Linked DNA regions of Drosophila melanogaster. The protein of the gene in region 1 interacts with the protein of each later gene in a biochemical or structural test. Each region holds a gene or a part of one and is shown in the gene's direction. Other genes may lie near its edges.

What was found.
Region 2: the proteins of Nak (region 1) and numb form a complex in vitro, tested with the Drosophila melanogaster proteins (3 studies listed by BioGRID).

What each region holds. Positions count from the first base shown.
Region 1 is NT_033779.5:18,963,647-18,973,128, reverse strand, and holds the start of Nak (Numb-associated kinase), read left to right. Parts: upstream 1-4,384; 5' UTR 4,385-4,713; coding exon 4,714-4,876; intron 4,877-7,539; coding exon 7,540-7,673; intron 7,674-7,736; coding exon 7,737-7,870; intron 7,871-7,945; coding exon 7,946-8,498; intron 8,499-8,564; coding exon 8,565-9,136; intron 9,137-9,482. Other genes in the region: L2HGDH (L-2-hydroxyglutarate dehydrogenase), read left to right, coding at 1-527, 582-969; Tango6 (transport and golgi organization 6), read right to left, coding at 1,147-1,649, 1,710-3,911, 3,970-4,030.
Region 2 is NT_033779.5:9,445,066-9,454,461, forward strand, and holds the start of numb (numb), read left to right. Parts: upstream 1-4,764; 5' UTR 4,765-5,316; intron 5,317-5,530; 5' UTR 5,531-5,555; intron 5,556-9,396.

The sequences.
Region 1 (9,482 bases):
GCCAACAACGTACCGGATCTGCGAATGATCGAAGGCAGCGAGATTCAGGAGATCGAACCCTACTGCCAGGGAGTGATGGCGCTCCACAGTCCGCACACTGGTATCGTTGACTGGGGATTGGTTACCGAGCATTATGGTCAGGATTTCAAACAGTGCGGTGGTGATATCTACCTGGACTTCAATGTCAGCAAGTTTACCGAGACCAAGGAGGGCACCGACTACCCAGTGACCATCCATGGCGCTAAGCCCGGTCAAACGGTTCGTACCAAGAACGTATTAACCTGTGGCGGTTTGCAATCCGACCTGCTGGCTGAGAAGACTGGATGCCCCAGAGACCCCCGCATCGTGCCTTTCCGTGGAGAGTATCTGCTGCTGACCAAGGAAAAACAGCATATGGTCAAGGGTAATATTTATCCGGTGCCGGATCCACGTTTCCCCTTCCTGGGAGTTCACTTTACGCCGCGAATGGACGGATCTATCTGGCTGGGACCAAATGCCGTTCTGGCTCTGAAACGCGAAGGTTACACGTAAGTCTTCTTAGAGCTCATATTTAAACTTGTCTGACACTTCACTTCTTCCAGCTGGGGTGACATTAATCTTTTCGAGCTTTTCGACGCCCTGCGCTATCCGGGCTTCGTAAAGATGGCGAGCAAGTACATCGGTTTCGGACTCAGCGAGATGTCCAAATCGTGGTTCATTAACCTGCAGATCAAGGCGTTGCAGAAGTACATCCCGGATATTACGGAGTACGATATCCAGCGTGGTCCCGCTGGAGTACGTGCCCAAGCAATGGATCTGGATGGCAATCTGGTGGACGATTTTGTTTTCGATCGCGGACAAGGATCGGGAGCGCTAGCCAAGCGAGTGCTTCACTGCAGAAACGCCCCATCGCCGGGCGCTACTAGTAGCTTGGCCATTGCCAAGATGATCGCAGACAAGATCGAGAATGAGTTCTCTATCGGCAAGTGATGCCTCTATCCCAAATAATGTAACCAAAGTCCAAAACTAAGTCCTATTTTCTGTTCTGCCTTTATGTCAGTAATGTCTGTACTGATTCGCCACTATCGCATTTCTTTTCGAAACTGTAATATTGATCTATTGTGTATAAAACAAAATTAAAACTTGTGTAGGTTTCTAAGATAGCCTTTAATTCAGTTCCAGTATATGTCGGTTTCTTCTTTGAGGTGAATCATCGTCCTTAATGCCCAACACCTTAATCTGCTTCTGTAATGATTTCTCCTCCAAGGCAGATTGTATCAGTTTTGTGCACTTTTTGTTTAAAATTTTCAGACCGTTTGCAGCATGCTGACGCATTTGAGGATCACAGGATTCATCCGCTTCAATCGCTTTTAAAAGGCGATAAATGGGGAGTAACATTTCCTGGTAATCCAGAAGGTTCTCCATGCCGTTTAATAGTTCAGCTAAGACCAGGACTGCTGCACGCTTAGAGGGAACATATCCTCCGGTGGTTAATTCGCTATTAACAAGTTGGAGTAACTCGTGGAAGAAGTTCTGCACTTGAAAGGCCAAAAGGCGACAAAGCTGGGCAAGATTGGCAAAGGCTGACATCCGGAATTCGTGAACAGGAGACCGGGAGCCGTACATGAAGCAGTTGAGAAGAACAGCCTTGTATCGAAAGCAAAGAGGACCTGGATGGGATTAGTATGAAAGTTTAGGAGTTATTCTTAGCTGTGTAGAACATTGCTTACCCAACTCCTGAGCGACTTTCAGAATAGCTTCACCCACTACGAGGCGGTAGTCTAAGTGAGCCGTCTCTGATAGGTACTCATCACTCAATTTGTCCAGCACATCGGACTCCATCACATGAACAAGCGACACAAAGAGCCGAACACAATTTAAGAAGGTGTAGGATTCCTTATCCTTGAGAGTGGTCAGGGCTAACGCTATGATAAGTTGACCCTGCGCTAAGGTAGCAGGATCTCTTTTTTTCAGCAAATCAATCATCATCTGAATTCCATACACTTGCATGTGGGATTGTTTTTCCTCTATCAAGGACCGAGCTCTTTGAAAAGGTTGTATTTTAACAGCCTCACTTGGTCGCCATGCGCCGTGAATTATTGTAAGCAATGATTTTACAGATTGCTGGATAAGAGGGTTGGAAGATCGAGTACCCAACAGGTGCAATTGTTCTTTCAGTTCCTTACAGGCCTCTGAAAGTTGAATATTCTCACTGCCCTCAAGAATTTCCTGCAAGAGGTTTAGAACGAGAAGTAGGATCTGATCCGTGGTATCTTGCTCTCTAGATCGGTGGACAAGCAAGTCTTTTAGTATATGTAGAAGCTCCTTGGTATGTTGTGATAGCTGAGCTCTTAATGGTTGGTGGGCTACCATTTGGTTTAAAGCAATGAGCAAATCTAGCTTCAGTTGATATTTGGAGTGCAGAAAGTCTTTGAGCTCTGCTTCTGATGAAATAAAATCTACGCTGGCTGAAGATTTATCATTTATCTGTTTAGCTATGAAGCCCAGAAGAGAGAGGAAAACTTTGCAGGTGAGGGAATGATGAGAGCTTGATGTGAGTAGACCGGGCAATATTCTGCCCATATCGTGATCTGCTAGATGATCTTTGTGAGCTACTTTAACCTGAATTTGAGTTGTGTTCATGGAAGGCAGGATTATAATGCGTGGGTTTAAACACTTCCAAGGAGGTTCCTTCTCAATTTCCCATTTAAACAGCTTCTGGAGTATCGCAGGTAATTCGTTTTTCATTTCTCTGTTGTCCAGACAACGCAAAATAATGGCAGAAATCTGCGATGACGCCGGTAATTCCATTGGAAGGCCATCGTAGAGTTGGAGCAGCAAAGGAAGGTAGGGAACGAGTAGATTACTGGGTAAGCAAGCTACGGTTGAAGAACAAAAGAGATGCTGCCATAAGAGAATGCGATTGCACAGTTCCTGGTGATCCATTAAGATAAGGCCATTAATAATGTCTTCTGGGTTACAAAGCGTTTCCCAGTGTTTGAATAATATTTCTTTTATCAGCTTTTGATTTGTATCACTTAAATCGTAAAGTCTTCTGAGCGATAGGACACCGGCGCACATTTTGTCCGCATTCTGCAGATAGAACTTACAATATTCTAGCACCTGGAGAACCATCTTCTCTTGCGCTAACTGAGAAAATCCTTTTCTGGCCACAATACTAGCCACAATTTCCGCATTTCTGGAAGAATTCACATTGGGATTTTGATGCAGGGCCTCAACAAGACTAGCAAATCCTTGGGGTAAGTGAAGCTTTCCTAAGAGTTGACGGTGCAATAATTGGGCCAGAGTTGGGCAGAGAGTCGTAGCTTTAAAAAGCAAGATGTTGCGAAAGAAATCTGCTTTGGATTCATATTGCCAGAGGTAGGCTATAGCCTTATCCAGCAGTGGAGAGTCTTGCTGCACACGTAGACTCACAATGGCCGCCAGTAGATCCCTTTGCACCAGCTCCATCGAGTTGGCTATGTGGTATTGTCGAATATGCAGTAGATTAATAAAGAACTGAATGCTTAGAAGCATCAATGAAAAGTTAGCTTTGATTTTCCCCTGAGCCTCACAAAAGATGGGCGACTTGTAGAAATCCTCATGTAGCTGGCATCGAAGCGAGTAATATGATAATTCTTGGGAAGCCTGGATACACAATTTCAGGTGCGCTACCGAAATAAGATCCTCCTTGGCGTCGCTGTGGAAATTAATGTTCCTCATGATCGAATGTAGCACATGTTGCAATCTTATTATATAGCATATAGTACGATCCGAATCGGGATCAATACTAGATTCGTGATCGTCTGTTAACTGATATTCCAGGCACAGCTCATGCAATTGCTGACCAATCTCGAGTTTAGCATATTTTTCCAAAATTCGCAGGTTGATTTCCAAGGCTTCGGCAGTCCCTGAGTTATTCGCCGTATTTGCTGTCGAAATATTAGTATTAGGGATACTACAATTATTATATGATGTTAACCAATTTACCTAGAGCTTTACTAAACCTTAAACTCTCTAGAAGAGCAAAGTACTTGGCCGTATTTATCATTGTTATCCCAGCAAACTACAATTTTGCGAATTTAGCGACCATTTGCTAGAGATGCTTGTTTACAATTGCACCAGCACAATCGATAACATATTGATAAGGGAAACACGATGTTGGCAGCATAGCTAATTAAAACTGCGCGATAGTTTAATGCAACTGTAGCTATATGTTTTATTGAAAGTAGAACCATATTATCTTTTTAAATTGGATCAAATTACAAAAAATTGTTATCATAAAACCTATTTTGTAAACGGGGATTTCCTTGTTTTCAGAATTTCGAGATTGCAACCAACTTATCTATATATCGATAGGCGGCTGCACCAGCCGCGGGTTGCGCATCTGACTGCAGCAAAGCGCCCTGGTCACACTGGCCCAACAACTCGAGAGCAGCAGGAAAATCGAACAACTTTCTTTTTCCACTGCATTGTGTGTGTGCATGCAAAAACACAAAGTGCGCAGAATAGCTTTATTCAGCTAGCCGATACGACTCGAAAGTGGATTAATTGGCCAGCGGCACCGACGCCCCGCCCACCGTCAGCCGCCCTCGCAAAATTAAAAATTGCCAAAAACACCTACGCGCAGGCAATTAAGACCGTGTTAGCTAGTGTGCGTGTGTGCTCGCGAGTGTGTGTGTGTGTGTTGTGCTGCTGGGGCAGTAAACATTTTCTAGTGAAAATCGGGGGAAAATGAAGAAAATCCTGTCTAAGTTCGAGCGCAATGAGAACTCTCGACTGGAGAATCCGCCCAACAGCAGCAGCTCGTCGTCCTCGAACGAGAAGAACAGCTTCGTGGGCAAGGTCTTCACAGTGGGACGCGTCACGGTCACCGTGGAGGATGTCCTGGCAGAAGGTAGACGACTATATATACACTCTTATATATGTGCTCCCATTCCCCTACCTACAACACGTCGCCCGCGATTATGCTTATCACCTGCCTGATTTACAGGTGGGCAGTAGCCTGCCGTCCGCTTTTCGGTCTCGCCCCTCGTCACAGATTAGATAAACCCCTTCAGCGCGAGAACTCCCAAATGTGGGGCGTACTCAAAGCGCTAGAGAGCATAAAAATCAGCTGCGTATCCTCCATAATTGGGGACACCACTTGTCGCATTTCCGATTAAATCCAAATAAATTACTCCCAATAATTTCTGTATAAGATGTTAAACTCAAAACAGCTAAAATCTGACTTTGATATATTATCTTTTAATAAAACTGTAAAACATTTTAAATTATTTCATTAATTATGAATACTAAATACTGGTTTGTAACCTAAATTCCAACTAATTGAACTGCAATTTTGCCCTTGGCATAGAACTACATATTTATGTCCATAACTCGGCTCTCTAATGGCGTGCAGATATTTCGTCCAAATTTATGTCAGTCTTTAAAGAGTTTATTTTTGCCAAAACCAGAAATGCCAGCATTTCTATTGTGACAAATGGGTGTCCGCGTTAGAGAAACCCGACTGTACAAACACAGTTACGGTTCTGGTTGGTTTTTCCATGGAATACCCATTGAATTCCCGTAGCCACTACACATGGCCACAAATCAATTGAATCAATTATGTTAATTTAGCCAATGAAGCGGCAAGACCAACACTCATCAGCCGACTGTCTCCGACAGTCTTCCGTTTTTCACCTTTCGCCGAGCTAAATGGCAAAGTTCGCCCCTAAGGAAATCGCCTGTGCTGTGTCCTTGTCCTTGAAATGCGGAGTGCTCCACTCCACATCATCCTGCAGTGCAAGTGCCTCCTTGTTGGCCTGGCACCAGTACCCTCCGCCCAACATTTGATCATCTAACGATTGCTCACCCACCGCCTGGCCAGCCATTCGCCACCTTTCCTTTAGCCATTACGTAGTGTTTTTTACTTTTTATACTTTTGGCAAGCGGACTCGATTCGTAATTTTGTTTTGCGCTGCGCTGGCGCCGCTGGCAATTAGTCAGCTGTTGTCGGGCATACCCTGTAATTAAAAAGGCGGAGCGTTTGACGAACACGGTTATTTGGTTAAAGTTATTGAATTAGTATAACAAATTATAAACTAAATTATATATTATTTATTAATTCATTTAATCCAGTAACGTAACTATTGGTATTTCATTTAAGAAAGAGAAAAAATAAATAGAGTCTTTTGCAGATGCTCAATGAATAAAATGCGCGTATAGCCAAGTTTAAACTGCTCGATATGCTGGATACTTCCAAAGTAACACTGTGCTTAATCACCTTCAATATTTACCTGCTTTCTTTGATTCGATTTTTGAGCAGCCAACAACAATTACAAATGACTAAGCGACAAACGGTTAACGAATGAAGCTTTCCCGCCTTAACCCCTCAGCCCCCACCCTTAACCGCTTACTGCCCACCTTGCAGTTGACGCCCCTTCAGACGTATTTTCTACCCTCGTTTGCGTTTCGAATTGCCTTCTCGCGTTTTCTCGCATCGCTACAATTGTGCATTGTTATTGTTGCTTTTCATACTATTATTACTGGATGTTGTTGCTGTACTTTTTGCCAATGTTGATTTGTTGCTGTTGCAACCTTCAGCATTGATTAACATTTGACGCCATAATTTCACAAAGTCGAGCAAAAATGGTTACATTTGCTGGTCCGCTATTCACTTCTCTCTATCGCCTACACAGGGAGAAATGGTGTGTGCATTTACAGCAAATGTTCCATAAATATTTTCAATATTAAAACATTCTCCTAATCGTTGCATCGTCTATGCATCTAATGTATTGAGATCATTTTTTTTTCTAATATCATTTCATTTTATATCTAATATATATTTTTATGTTTTTTTCTTAGTGACCACTGTTCCTATCTTTTTATTTTGCCGCCCCACCGCCTTCCCCCGCTGAGTATTGTTATTGTCGCATGTTATTGTTGTTATTTCTGTACGTGACCTTCAATAGTTTAGTTTATATTGCGTTGCCTTTTTATCGTACATTTTGAAGTGGCGTAAAGCGACAGGTGGAGAGGGCTGAAATGTGGGGGCATTCTACTTGAAATTCTATTTGCAATAAACTGAAATAAACCTCATGCAAATGGCCTGTTAGGCAAAACATGTGTAAATCGTTCCATGGCCAGACAGTAACTGCTATCACTCGAATTCGGGTACCCTCTACTATTTTAACACCACGGGGGGATATTTGTGAACGTGAAATGTTTATAGTAAAGAAATTCCATTATTATCACGTAGATATATGGCATAAATTATGTGGGAAGGAATGGCCAAAGATACGTGTGCTATAAAAATGTGACACATATTTCCTTTTAATAAACAAATTAGTTTATTAATTAGCTACTTCCTGCCATATAAAATAAAATATTCGTATATATGTATTATGAATATACAATAACAGGGTATTCATCGGGTTTAGCTTACTCGCAGTTTCCTCCCCCATTCAAATATGCTATGTTGTTTACAGCTGACAGCTGTTATGGATGTCTAGCCCGTCAACTTACCCCATGCTCTAATGCTCTGTTTTTCTCTTCCCCATCTCTTCAAAACTCACGCAGGTGGTTTCGCCATGGTCTTTTTGGCAAGGGGCAACGGCGGAGGCAGTTCCTCGGCGACCAAGTACGCCCTGAAGCGCATGTACGTCAACAATGAGCACGATCTGAACGTAGCCAAGCGGGAGATACAGATTGCGGTGAGTAAATAAATCGGGACAAACAAACCTAATCTAATAGGGCAATCACTTTCACTCCCCCAGAGCAACCTGAGTGGGCACAAAAACATCATTGGTTATGTGGACTCCAGCATCACGCCCACGGGAAACGGGGTGTGCGAGGTGCTACTCCTGATGCCCTATTGCAAGCATCACATGCTGGCCATGATGAATGCGAGGTAAACGAAGTGAATCTAAAAATGTAGTCCATTTGATTGCGGAATTCGAATGTAATCCAATGAAATTCGCCACAGATTGCACGTTGGCTTCACGGAGCCAGAGGTGCTCAACATCTTCTGTGATATTGCCGAGGCTGTCTCTCGATTGCACTATTGTCAGACTCCGATTATCCATCGGGATCTTAAGGTGGAGAACATTCTGCAAACGGACGCGGGCAACTTCGTACTCTGCGACTTCGGATCGGCAACGGCCAAGACGTTAAATCCTCAACAGCACGGAGTCACCGTGGTGCAGGAAGAGATCCAAAAGTACACCACTCTATCTTATCGGGCTCCCGAGATGATCGACCTGTACGGGGGCAAGAGCATAACCACAAAGGCGGACATCTGGGCACTGGGTTGCATGCTCTATAAGCTGTGCTTCTTTTCCTTGCCATTTGGGGAGAGCACTTTGGCTATCCAGAATGGACAGTTTTCCATTCCAGACTCCTCAAAGTACTCGAAGGGCATGCACCAACTGATTAAATATATGTTGGAACCCGATATGGAGAAGCGACCAAACATTTGGCAAGTTTGCGAGGTGGCCTTTCGACTGGCGGGCAAGGATAATCCCGTTCAGAATCTCCATGTGAGTGATGCATAATGTTTGTGTTCAGATTCCTGTATGATAATCTGTTTGCTTATTTTTAATCAGAAAACTCCCATTCCAAACTTCGACCTACTGGTAGTGCCTCCGTTTGAATCGGAAGCCAAGAGGATCAGTGCAGCGGCCTCCAAGGCGGCGAAGGCTCAGAATGTGTCAGTTGTGGAGGCGGGAACCAGTGTAGCTCCTCGGTCTCGTCCTAAGGGTTCCTCATCGGTACATGGAGGAAATCCATTGGGTCTCGGTTTGCCTCCCAGTCCCTCGCCAAGACAGAATATCACTTCTCCACAACCCCAACCTCAACCTGTGGTCGAGCAGTTCCAGGCCAACTTCCCAGCTATGCCACCTGCTGTTCCTCCACCTCCTCAAGCTGTTACTCCGGCAGCTCCTGCTGCCAGTAAACTCTTCGAGTCAAGTGGCTATCCAGATCCATTCAATGAGCCAGCTGCAGCAGTAATTCCTACTGAATTTCTACCAGCAGCAGAAGAACCTAACAAGGAGGAAGTGCCTCAGGACTTAAACGTCATTGCAGGCACGCCCACCAAGAGCATGTTGACACCGCCCAAGCCAAGCGGAGGAGGTGGTCATAGGCGTAACGTAAGCGACACCTCGGCCTTCAATAAGTAAGTTGCATACAAGAAAACAGAAGCTAATCTAAAATCAAGAATACACATTTTGATTCTACAAATTTTAATTCCTATCTTAGTTACCTGTTTAAGCACAAAAGTTGTGTCTTGTTATCGTTTTTAAAGTTTACTCGGCCAGAATCAATATAATTGCTTTCCCCCAAAGGTTTCAGCCTGAAAATTAAGATATATGGTTTCATAAATATTTAAATATTCTTGATGTTAGACATTTCCAAATGCGTTGGTCCTGCACGATCTGTATGTGTTCTGTGTTCTGCTCTTCTCTTGCTCTTTTACTCACTCTCTGCTTGTCTCTTTCTGTGAATTCCCGATCCTTAAGAGC
Region 2 (9,396 bases), 9.5 Mb from region 1:
GCATTCTGTGTCTGCATCTGGATCTCCATATGCATCTGCATCTGCTTCCATCCAGTGAGTTCTGAGCCCCGAATGGAGCAGGGAGGATAATTGGACACCAGACATGGGAGCCCGGAGTCCACTGGAATCGTTCCAAATTGCCGGCGGATGACTCTCTGTCCATTTGCAGAGAAGAAAGAGTAAAAAAAGAAGAAAAAAAAAACGGAGGAGTATCTGATGAAGAAATGCTGTAAAATGGAATTGCATTACACACACTTTAGGTGCCACTTTGTGTGGCAATGCGTGGAGGGGTGGGGGGTAAATCTGAAGGCGAAGCCATGAAGTTGATGATGCGCCAACAAATTGGATGCGTGATGGCTAAGCGAGAGCTGAGCCACAATTGATATATTTATAGTTATGGCCAATAGGGACCCCCCTGTAACTTCATTTTACTTTCGACCAAATGGGCGAAAGTCAGCTTGCTTAATATTTCTCAAAAGCAATTGGATAAATCTTTTGTGCCTTAATGACCTTACATACAAATACCTGAGCTCTTCAACAGAAACGGAAAATTAATTAGCAGCCATGGGAATATCCGAGAAAAGTGCTCGGAATTTATTCGCGGCGAACTTAGTCTGAAATATTTTCACTGGCATTCTCAACTGGCTGTGCCCTAATTAAATTAAATTAAATTCCAATAAAATCATGTTTGGTTCACACGATGCTCAACCCTTCAAGGTTTCGGTGTCCTCTAATGCTGGTATTTATTCTATATTTTTATTGCAATCCTCTATTTATGGCCTCTAATCCGTTAAATGCTTTTTAATTGCATCTGCAACCTTATCCCGGGGACACTTGAAAATTTCAGTTCGCATCGGCAGGGAAAAGTGGGCGGGCTAGGGGCAGAAAATATAGTTTGAAAAGAGGGTGGTTGAGAGGGCGTGAGCAACCCCAGGCTAATTGGTTGGGCGTGAAATTTGTGAGTTTAATTTTTTAGGACTCGGTTAGCTGTCAACCCCTGAAAAATTAAGGACCCCTACAATTTGGCACTGTGGGAGACGAAATTGATAAAGAACCGAGATGCAATCAGCCAAAGTAAACCACTTTTTATCGGCTTAAAATAACATTGGTTAGAAAGTCCGCCAAAGCAAAAAAAAAAAATATCCATAAGATAAATAAGTAGGGTTACAATTAAACGAATTTAATTTTTAATTTTATGATGTCTTTAACCTAAAATAATATACTTGAGTAATGATGAGTGTGACAATAATGGTGTTTTTTGTTTTTTTCCATATATGTATGTATGTAGTATTATTTACTAAATTGTATCTTTAAAAATAAATGTATGGCAATAGGAAGAAGAATTTGATATACAAAATCTTTTTTAAACACAATTAATTCCTATAAGCGTACATACCTTGTGATACTTTATATCCTCAGTGCAATAACTTTAAATCACTTTAAGCTTCAGTTCATTCAACCGCAAGCCGAGCTTAGCATTAACAAAAAGCTCTTTCACCTGCCCGACAAAGCTTTTAAGCCCTCGAGCCACTCAAGTTTTGCGGCTCAGCTCGGCGACGTCTCAAGAACGTACTCAAGAAACGCTCATAAGCAATAGGCTAAAAGAACACATTTACTTGGCCAAACACATACATAGACATACACACATGCAGTTTTAAATTAAAAACAAATTGCGAACACGAGACAAAATATGTTAGAGCTGTCATGACCCTAATGACCGTGGGAACTTTTTTATAAACGTCACTGACATTGTCAGCTGAGTGCCCAAGTGTGAATGTGCATGCATTGGGTGTAAGCAGGCTCTTAAGTTTCTTTTAAGAGAGACTTGAGTTCAAGCATTGCCAGATTAAAAACATTTTTAAAATTTTGTAACGGAAACAGCAGCTTAAATAATAACTTTAATAACTGCTTTAATACTCTATTTATAATAAAGAATATTTTTTTCATTTCAGCTTTTTCAAGGCACCTTAAACTAATACAAGGTAAGCAATTTCAAATATTTTTTTCAACGAGAGAGAGAGAACGAAACAACAAACAAGTTTTTTTCCGTAATATATTTTTAACAATTTTTCCTAAACCCAAAATGGAATTAAATCATCACAGTTAATATACAAACCTTTAAAAAATCACAAAAACTAAATTACCTTGAATCTTGATTATCAAAACATTGGGTTAATCGATTATTCATCACCCCCTTCGAATTGTCGCAAAATTATTTCAATTATTGCCCAACAATTGATTTGTTAATCTTCTTGTCTGCAAATGGAAATCCTTAACAATTGACCCAGCAATTTGTATGAGTAATTGGCTTCTTAATCGCAATTACAGGCCAGATTGGGTTCAATTCGAGTGAATTGATTCGGTTTGGATTACTCATGCCAACGTATTAGACTGTGTTTGAGCGTATTTGTTGCCATTTGTTGTGAGCCTTTCATTGCGGCATTTTGCGCATTTTGATTGAAATTTTGATTAGGTTGCACATGTGGCTTTTGTCTGCCCCGCAGCTCCATTGACTGACATTGATTTCTCAGCTTATGGCCATTTCCCTATTTCTATGCTTCCCTATGCTTCTTCCGTTTTCCCCTTTCCCCCATTGTCTGGCATTATCTTTTGTCGGTTCATACCAGCGGAGCTGGAATTATTTGTCTGCGACGGGAGGTGGGTGGGTTGTCTGGGATCTGGGGTCTCCTCATTCAGTGCTAGCTGTTTTCATTATGGTTTATCTAAAAGTGTCGAGTAATGTCTGTAATGGCTTTAACACATTTAACACACGGAAAAAGGCATAACCGTCTTTAATTTTAACGTAATGGAGTCAAATGATAATGGACATAAGCTTTATATAACTAACATCTTCTCGTGTTTTGAGTAAATCAATTCATAAGTATGCACTTATTATGGTTAATTTTGATTTTATTACTTTTTGAATAACTTATCCCAAGCTCGAAAAAGTTTGAAAATTTTATGTCATCTTTTAATGAAATTTGGAAATATTTGTATTATTAAATGATAGCAATAAGAATTTACATTTTTTCTGAGTGCAAGTCTGCTTTTTTCATCAGTTGCAGCACTTTGTTTTTTCTGCATTTAAATTGCGATAATGTTGGCGCGATTGGGTGCCATGTGTAGGTAGCAATGGTTTGCTCCCAATAGTTTTGATACCATTCTTTTTACTACCTGATTTTATGGGCTACCTGGATTAAAGTCGCTGCTGCATTGCAATTTTTCGCACGTTTCATTGCTGAAAACTCTCTTATTATCTATATGTATGACTGTCTCACGCGCACATTTGGGTATTTATCTTTCGGAGTTATCTATGTTTCTCTTAGGGTACAATTTTCTCTTAAAGAGCGAACGACCTTGCATCGCGCGCTCTTTTGTTCTACGGTTTCGATCGATCATTTTGCCATTGTTGTCACGGAATTTAGGTTGGGCAACTAATTCAAATCGATAAGTTCAATACATTGATTACCGAGCCTTGATTATTGTTCAGTTAATCAGTTTTTATTCTTTTCATTTGTTTTGTATGTCCGTTGGGATTTCATAACCACCTAGCCATCTTTTGCATTTTGTTAATAGCTAAGTCTTTGGTAACTCTCTTTGATGACTCTCTTGAGTGCCATAATCATTTCCATTCAAACCAAACCACTCGCTCTTCATACTCCATGTGGAAAAAACTGGCAGCTGCAGAACCAACGAAACCAACTGGTTTTGAATGCCCTTCTATCACTTCAATGGGGTATCTCAAATCCTGATTTCGAAGACAAAAAAATTTTCGGGATTAGTAATTTTTATTACGCAAGTTTTTAAAGATAACATCCTTAAAACTTGTAATTTTTACACCCGTGCAAAATTCATAATTTATTTTACAAAGTTTCCAAGAATTTGAGCGCTGCTAAAGAAAGACGACTAAAGACAATTCCGAACTTTAAATCCAAGGCGTATGGGTTAGCGATAAATCTGAGAGCCAGAGATATTACAAAACAATAAGAGGACCTTTTTGAACTACCCGGCTTTGTAATTATCTTAGCACTGGCCCATTTGGGAAATTCCCAGAGTTAAATAATAAAATTGAGCTCGTGTTTTCCAAGAATTTTCTCAACTTATCCCAACCGCAAATCTTTTAAGCCACGGTCACCAAATCGCGATCTCTAAATGCAGCGCATCTGAGATTATACCTGGCCGAGATACCTTAAACGCCACTCTCGCTCGCTCAACTTCTGCTATCTCACTCCCACTCTTGAAAACCTACAAGCTGCAGAAACGCGTCGCAGTTTTATCATTATCACAACAAATACAAACGCAGCAGAGCGGAGGTGAGATGGAAGAAGCAAAACGACGTCGTCGTTGGTAGTAAATAAACACAATGGAACTGAGCAAATCCACAAACGTACTGGTGCACTGAAAAAATCACTTTAAAGTTTTAAGAGGACTTAACAACTTGTAATATAATAAATAAAATAAAACACTATGATAATAATGGCTTAATAGGTTGTATTAAAAGCGCGTAATAGAATAAGGCAATACCCTTTGATGACGACCTTTTCCAAATCGATAGAAAAGTAGTAAGATCACTCTTCCCTCAAAGTGATCTTAACACCACATTTAGTTGAAATCAGGGCCAATTTGTTCGATTTTTCTCAGTGCACACACACACAGGCCGAAACACCCTGTAACAGCTGTCGCTCTCTTCCGCTCTTTGCACGCTCGCACTCTTTCCTCTCGACTCAAACAGCGCTGAGCGTGCGGCCAGAGTCAGCCAGTACAGTAGAGCAATTTGAGCCGCCGCATCGAGCTAACCGCTTACCGCTTGCCGGACAAACGCGTTCCGTTTTCCCTCCGCTTCCATTCGCTTTCGGCCCACTGTCGTCGTCGGTTGTCCAAATGTCCGCGTAGGGATAGTGTAACCTTTTTCCAATTTCCGGGGGGGTCATAGTAAAAAAGTTAACACCTAAGTAGTCCAGGCCTTTTGGGCCAAGCCGATCCCAGCCATCCATTTACCGGGCACCGGGCTCTTAACACGGGGATCGTTTTAATCGGTGTCGCGTTGTCGTTATTTCGGTTTTTCGCGATTTTCCCCACATTCCGTGTGCTGTGTGCTGTGCGAGGTGTTCTTGGAATTAATAAATAGTTAAAACCGAAACGTTGGCAAAAATCCACTGAATGAGCAAGAAAGTTATATAAGGCCCGAACCGGATTTATTTATTAATTATACATACGAATGTGATCAAAACAAAAACAGACTGACAACAAAACTCGGCTTTTTGGAATATACCAAAAAAAGCAACTCAAATACAAACCGATCCCGATATATATATGGTAAATGTTTAAAACCAAAAAAAAAAAAAAAACAGTAACAACAGCCAAAGTTGAGCTTAACTTGAGCTTCGGATTTAAAGCCAAGTCAAAACGAGTTTATTGTGGTGCAAAATCAGATTTGCATATACATATGCAATTCTTTTACAGCTTTACGCTAGTTGTTGCTGCTTTGACATTTGTAAAAACATAATATTCATTTTTGTAATAATTCCAGTTTTTGACGTCTTCAATATGCATTGGTATAGAAAACTAAAAACAGCTGTTCAAACTATGTAACACTATACTAGACTTTGCTTCGCAATAAGCTAAAGTATTCAAAATACGTTTTGGGGCATTAATTTTAATAATCAGGGGGAGTATATCCATTAAGGTTATAGCGATACCAGTAATTTAGAATGAATTACCCAGCTAAAAAACTCAATAAATCTTTGCAGTTTGCACTTGAACATAGCAATTGTTGAGAGAGGGTTAACAAATGAAATATATAAACACAATTAGCAATTAGCTGATTTTGGCTGGATCACATGAACGCACATACATACATACGCACATACGTACATATATATCTAAAAAGTTACGATTGACTGGATTCTACTGGTCTCCAGTCTCTCACGTTTCCGAAGATGAATCATTTGGCATGACTACAACTCTTCGAATCGATCGTATATAAAGACTATTTAGACTATTTCAAATATAGTCCCACATTTCAGTTTAAAATCCAATGAATTTCTGCCGAAGCATGCACATATTCTTACCACAAACTCTTCTCCCAGCTCTTTTGTAAAGTTAATTTATTTTAATGTATACTGTGTGCCAAATTATTTGACTGTCAACTGCATAAATTACTGCGATAACAAACAAAACGAAGAAAAAAAAGAAAAGTGGCAAAGGCAAAATGGAAAATGGGGAAAATTTCCCATTGAAATGAGTAATGAATTGGTTTGGGGCGGCTGAGAACGAAACCAACCGAGAGTGGGTGAAAATATATTATAATAACAGTGTAATTAAATGCCAACTTGGCCCCCGCTTTCGCCAGAAGAGAGTTTTTTGCAGCCGCAAACTATGGGATACTTTTGCTTTGCATAATTATGCTGTTCAACTTGATTTACTCGGAATGTTCTTCAAGATCTTGAGTTTCCACCAAAAGGGCTCCCTGATTTATGCTGCACTTTTTTCTTTTTTTTTTGGTAGCAATGCTTTGCAGCCTGGTCAGATTATAAATCTCAGCAGTTCATAAAAACTTCAGGCAAAAAGCTCCAGCAAAAACCATTCAGAAACATTCCAAGAAAAGCCAGAAACACGAACGAAAAAAAAAACTGGTAACAAGCCGAGGAAAAAAGTAAGAACATAATGCTACCTGGGTGCAGTTGGACTTGAGTTAAGCCAACTCTGGGATGGTGGAGCCGCGTCGAATGGAACCGGTTTGGTGGCTGGCTGGCAGCCAGCCGACTCCAACTTTTCTCACATGCCTTTCGATTATGCCAAGTCGACTGCATTCTTCGAGACGCGGCTTTCGCTAAACGTTTGGCTAAGACCGAGCTCTCAGCTCTCAGCTCCAAGCTCCAGCGCCCCATCCTCGAGCTCCATCCCATCGCTCTGCAAGTTCAACACTCAGTCGAGGAGTTAGACCTCAACTTCAACTTCAACTTGATCGCTGCCTCGGCTGTGGCTGCATAAAACTTTAATTTCATGGAATTTCCTTTCTATTTTTATGCTGCAACGCCGATGATTAACAACAGCAGCAGCAGCCAGCCAGCCAACTGCCAACAAAGAGAGACGTTGGACAAGTCAAGAACACGGGAACAAGTCCAAGACCAAGTCTAACTCCAAGTCATGGCTGCCAGCTAGAACTTCAACTTCTGGGCCATTAACTTAGCTCTGGAGACGGGACACAGCGGGCATGTGGCACCTGGCATTCTACATCTAAGGCAGGAAATTAAAAATGCAAAAAATTGGATAATTATGCATGTAAACGTTTTGTCATTAAGTTGATACTTAAATGCTGCGTCGATTAACAGGCAGATTTTAATAGAAAATAACGCTATTAAATCGGCCTAGAAGACACGGGGATTCCTTTAGGTGTCCCCACTTGTATTTCTTTTATAAAAACCACTTGCAATTGCTTTGAAAGTCTGCAAAAAATTACAATTATGAACCTTAAAGGGTATTAGAGAGTTTGTAACTTTTTGTTTATACTTGGCATTTTTCTTGCCTGCCAATAGCTAACTAGCCGTAAAGCTGAACAGCAAACATTTCGCATTAATGCCAAAAACTTTTCTCGCCTCTCGAAGACCCGACTAAGTCGACACGCCAACTTGGTAATAACTTGGCCTTGGCTTGGCTAAGTTGGCCAAAGCCGCAGCGCCTTAAGAATGTCAAAGGGCATGCTTGGATATGATTACGAGAATTTCCGTTCCTAGCTCCTTTTTTATTGCCTTTAATGAGCCAGTTCAATTTCCGGTCTGTCAGCTGGTTGTGCGCTGATAAAGGATTAATCTTATATAGAAACTATAGTTTGTCAAATTGTGTATGTAATTACTTTAGCTCTGATATAAAATTCTATTGAAATAGAACGTTTATTTACCTATGCCAAATTCTTATATGTAACCCAAATACCGTGACACACCTGTTCGCCTGGCTTATTAGGCAAATAGGGGACTATTTGCGCCAGTATTACTGCGCCCCCACAAAAAACACTAGGATGGCTTCTTTTGGCAAGTATATGGGTTGTTTGTTTAGTTTCCTATCGATTATTTTCATTGGGTATTTGCACTGCCTACTTTTGGGCGCCTGGCACCCGGAAATTGCTAAACCAATTGGCCAACAGCTGTTTTGTGTGATGTCTATTTGCCTGGCGTCGACAGAAGACGAGCGTTGACAATTGGAACAGAGAAAACTAACGTGGTTACACTTTTGTGCGCCATAAAATTGATTTGACTCTCCTCCTCCTTCCCCCTTTTGACGACGAAACTATGACAATCAGAGCAGAGAATGCCACTGGAAAATAGCGGGAGACAACCGTTTGGAAAATCGTCAGGCTTGGCTGACTTTCCATCGCCTCGAATTTTGGACCACTTTGCCTCCGCGACGACCTTTGCCGCCATAAATCGGTTGGATAATCGTCTAAACTTAGCAGTTATCTAAACATAGTTGCTGGTGATGTCACGTAACTTTCCACAAAACTTGTAAGCAAACAAATTCTCCTGTTGTTTTGCTTATCGCAAAGTCACATTTTGAAAAATCCCTTTCCCATTTTAAAACTGTCAGATAAAAAAGAGCTCTTTAGCCAGTTTTACGTTTGCTTCTGTCTGGGAAAGAAAAATATTACATCTTGTGTACTTTGATTACACGACGTTTGCTGGAGATCAACATTTGGATAAATACTTAGGAAATTAAACTACTAGTGCCTTTAAAAATCTTGTTTTGTAATCTAATATATTTTTCTGTCACATCGAAGCATTTGTATCAAGTTTCCAGGGTCATTACAAATTCAGTATAAGGATTGAATAAATTCAAATAAGCTTTGGTTTGGCTATTGTCTTAGGAATTTGTTTTCAACGCATTATACATTCTTGTGCATATTAAATTAGTTCTTAGTATTCCCCAGTGATTTTCCTCTACGATTTTCCCTCGCTTTATGAGTTATGAATGCGTAATGGTAAATGTGCCTTGGATGAATGATTGGTTGTTGAAAATTTCTCTGTGTTTCTCACCTTTGGTCTTCATTTCTTCATTGAATTGCATATTTTAATGGCTATAACGTGTCGCACGGCTCGGAAACAGGTTCCCCGAAAAATTCGGTTAACTTTTGTTAAGTTTGCCACAGCGCGTTGAGTCATTGAAATATTTATTTGCATAATGAGTGTAAACAGAAAGCTTGTAAGCGTGGTTCGCAGAAACAAAATCGTACGCTCACAAAAGTGGCTAAAGTCGAATGTAATTACCGTCGCATCTGCCGGCTGGCGAGCAAACAAAGGATAACAAGGATCTTCGATCGTCCTGTTGAGACACGAACCAAACGATTCCGTTTACCTGGAAATTCGGAAATCGTAGCAAATCGAAGTCACTATGCTGAGAACA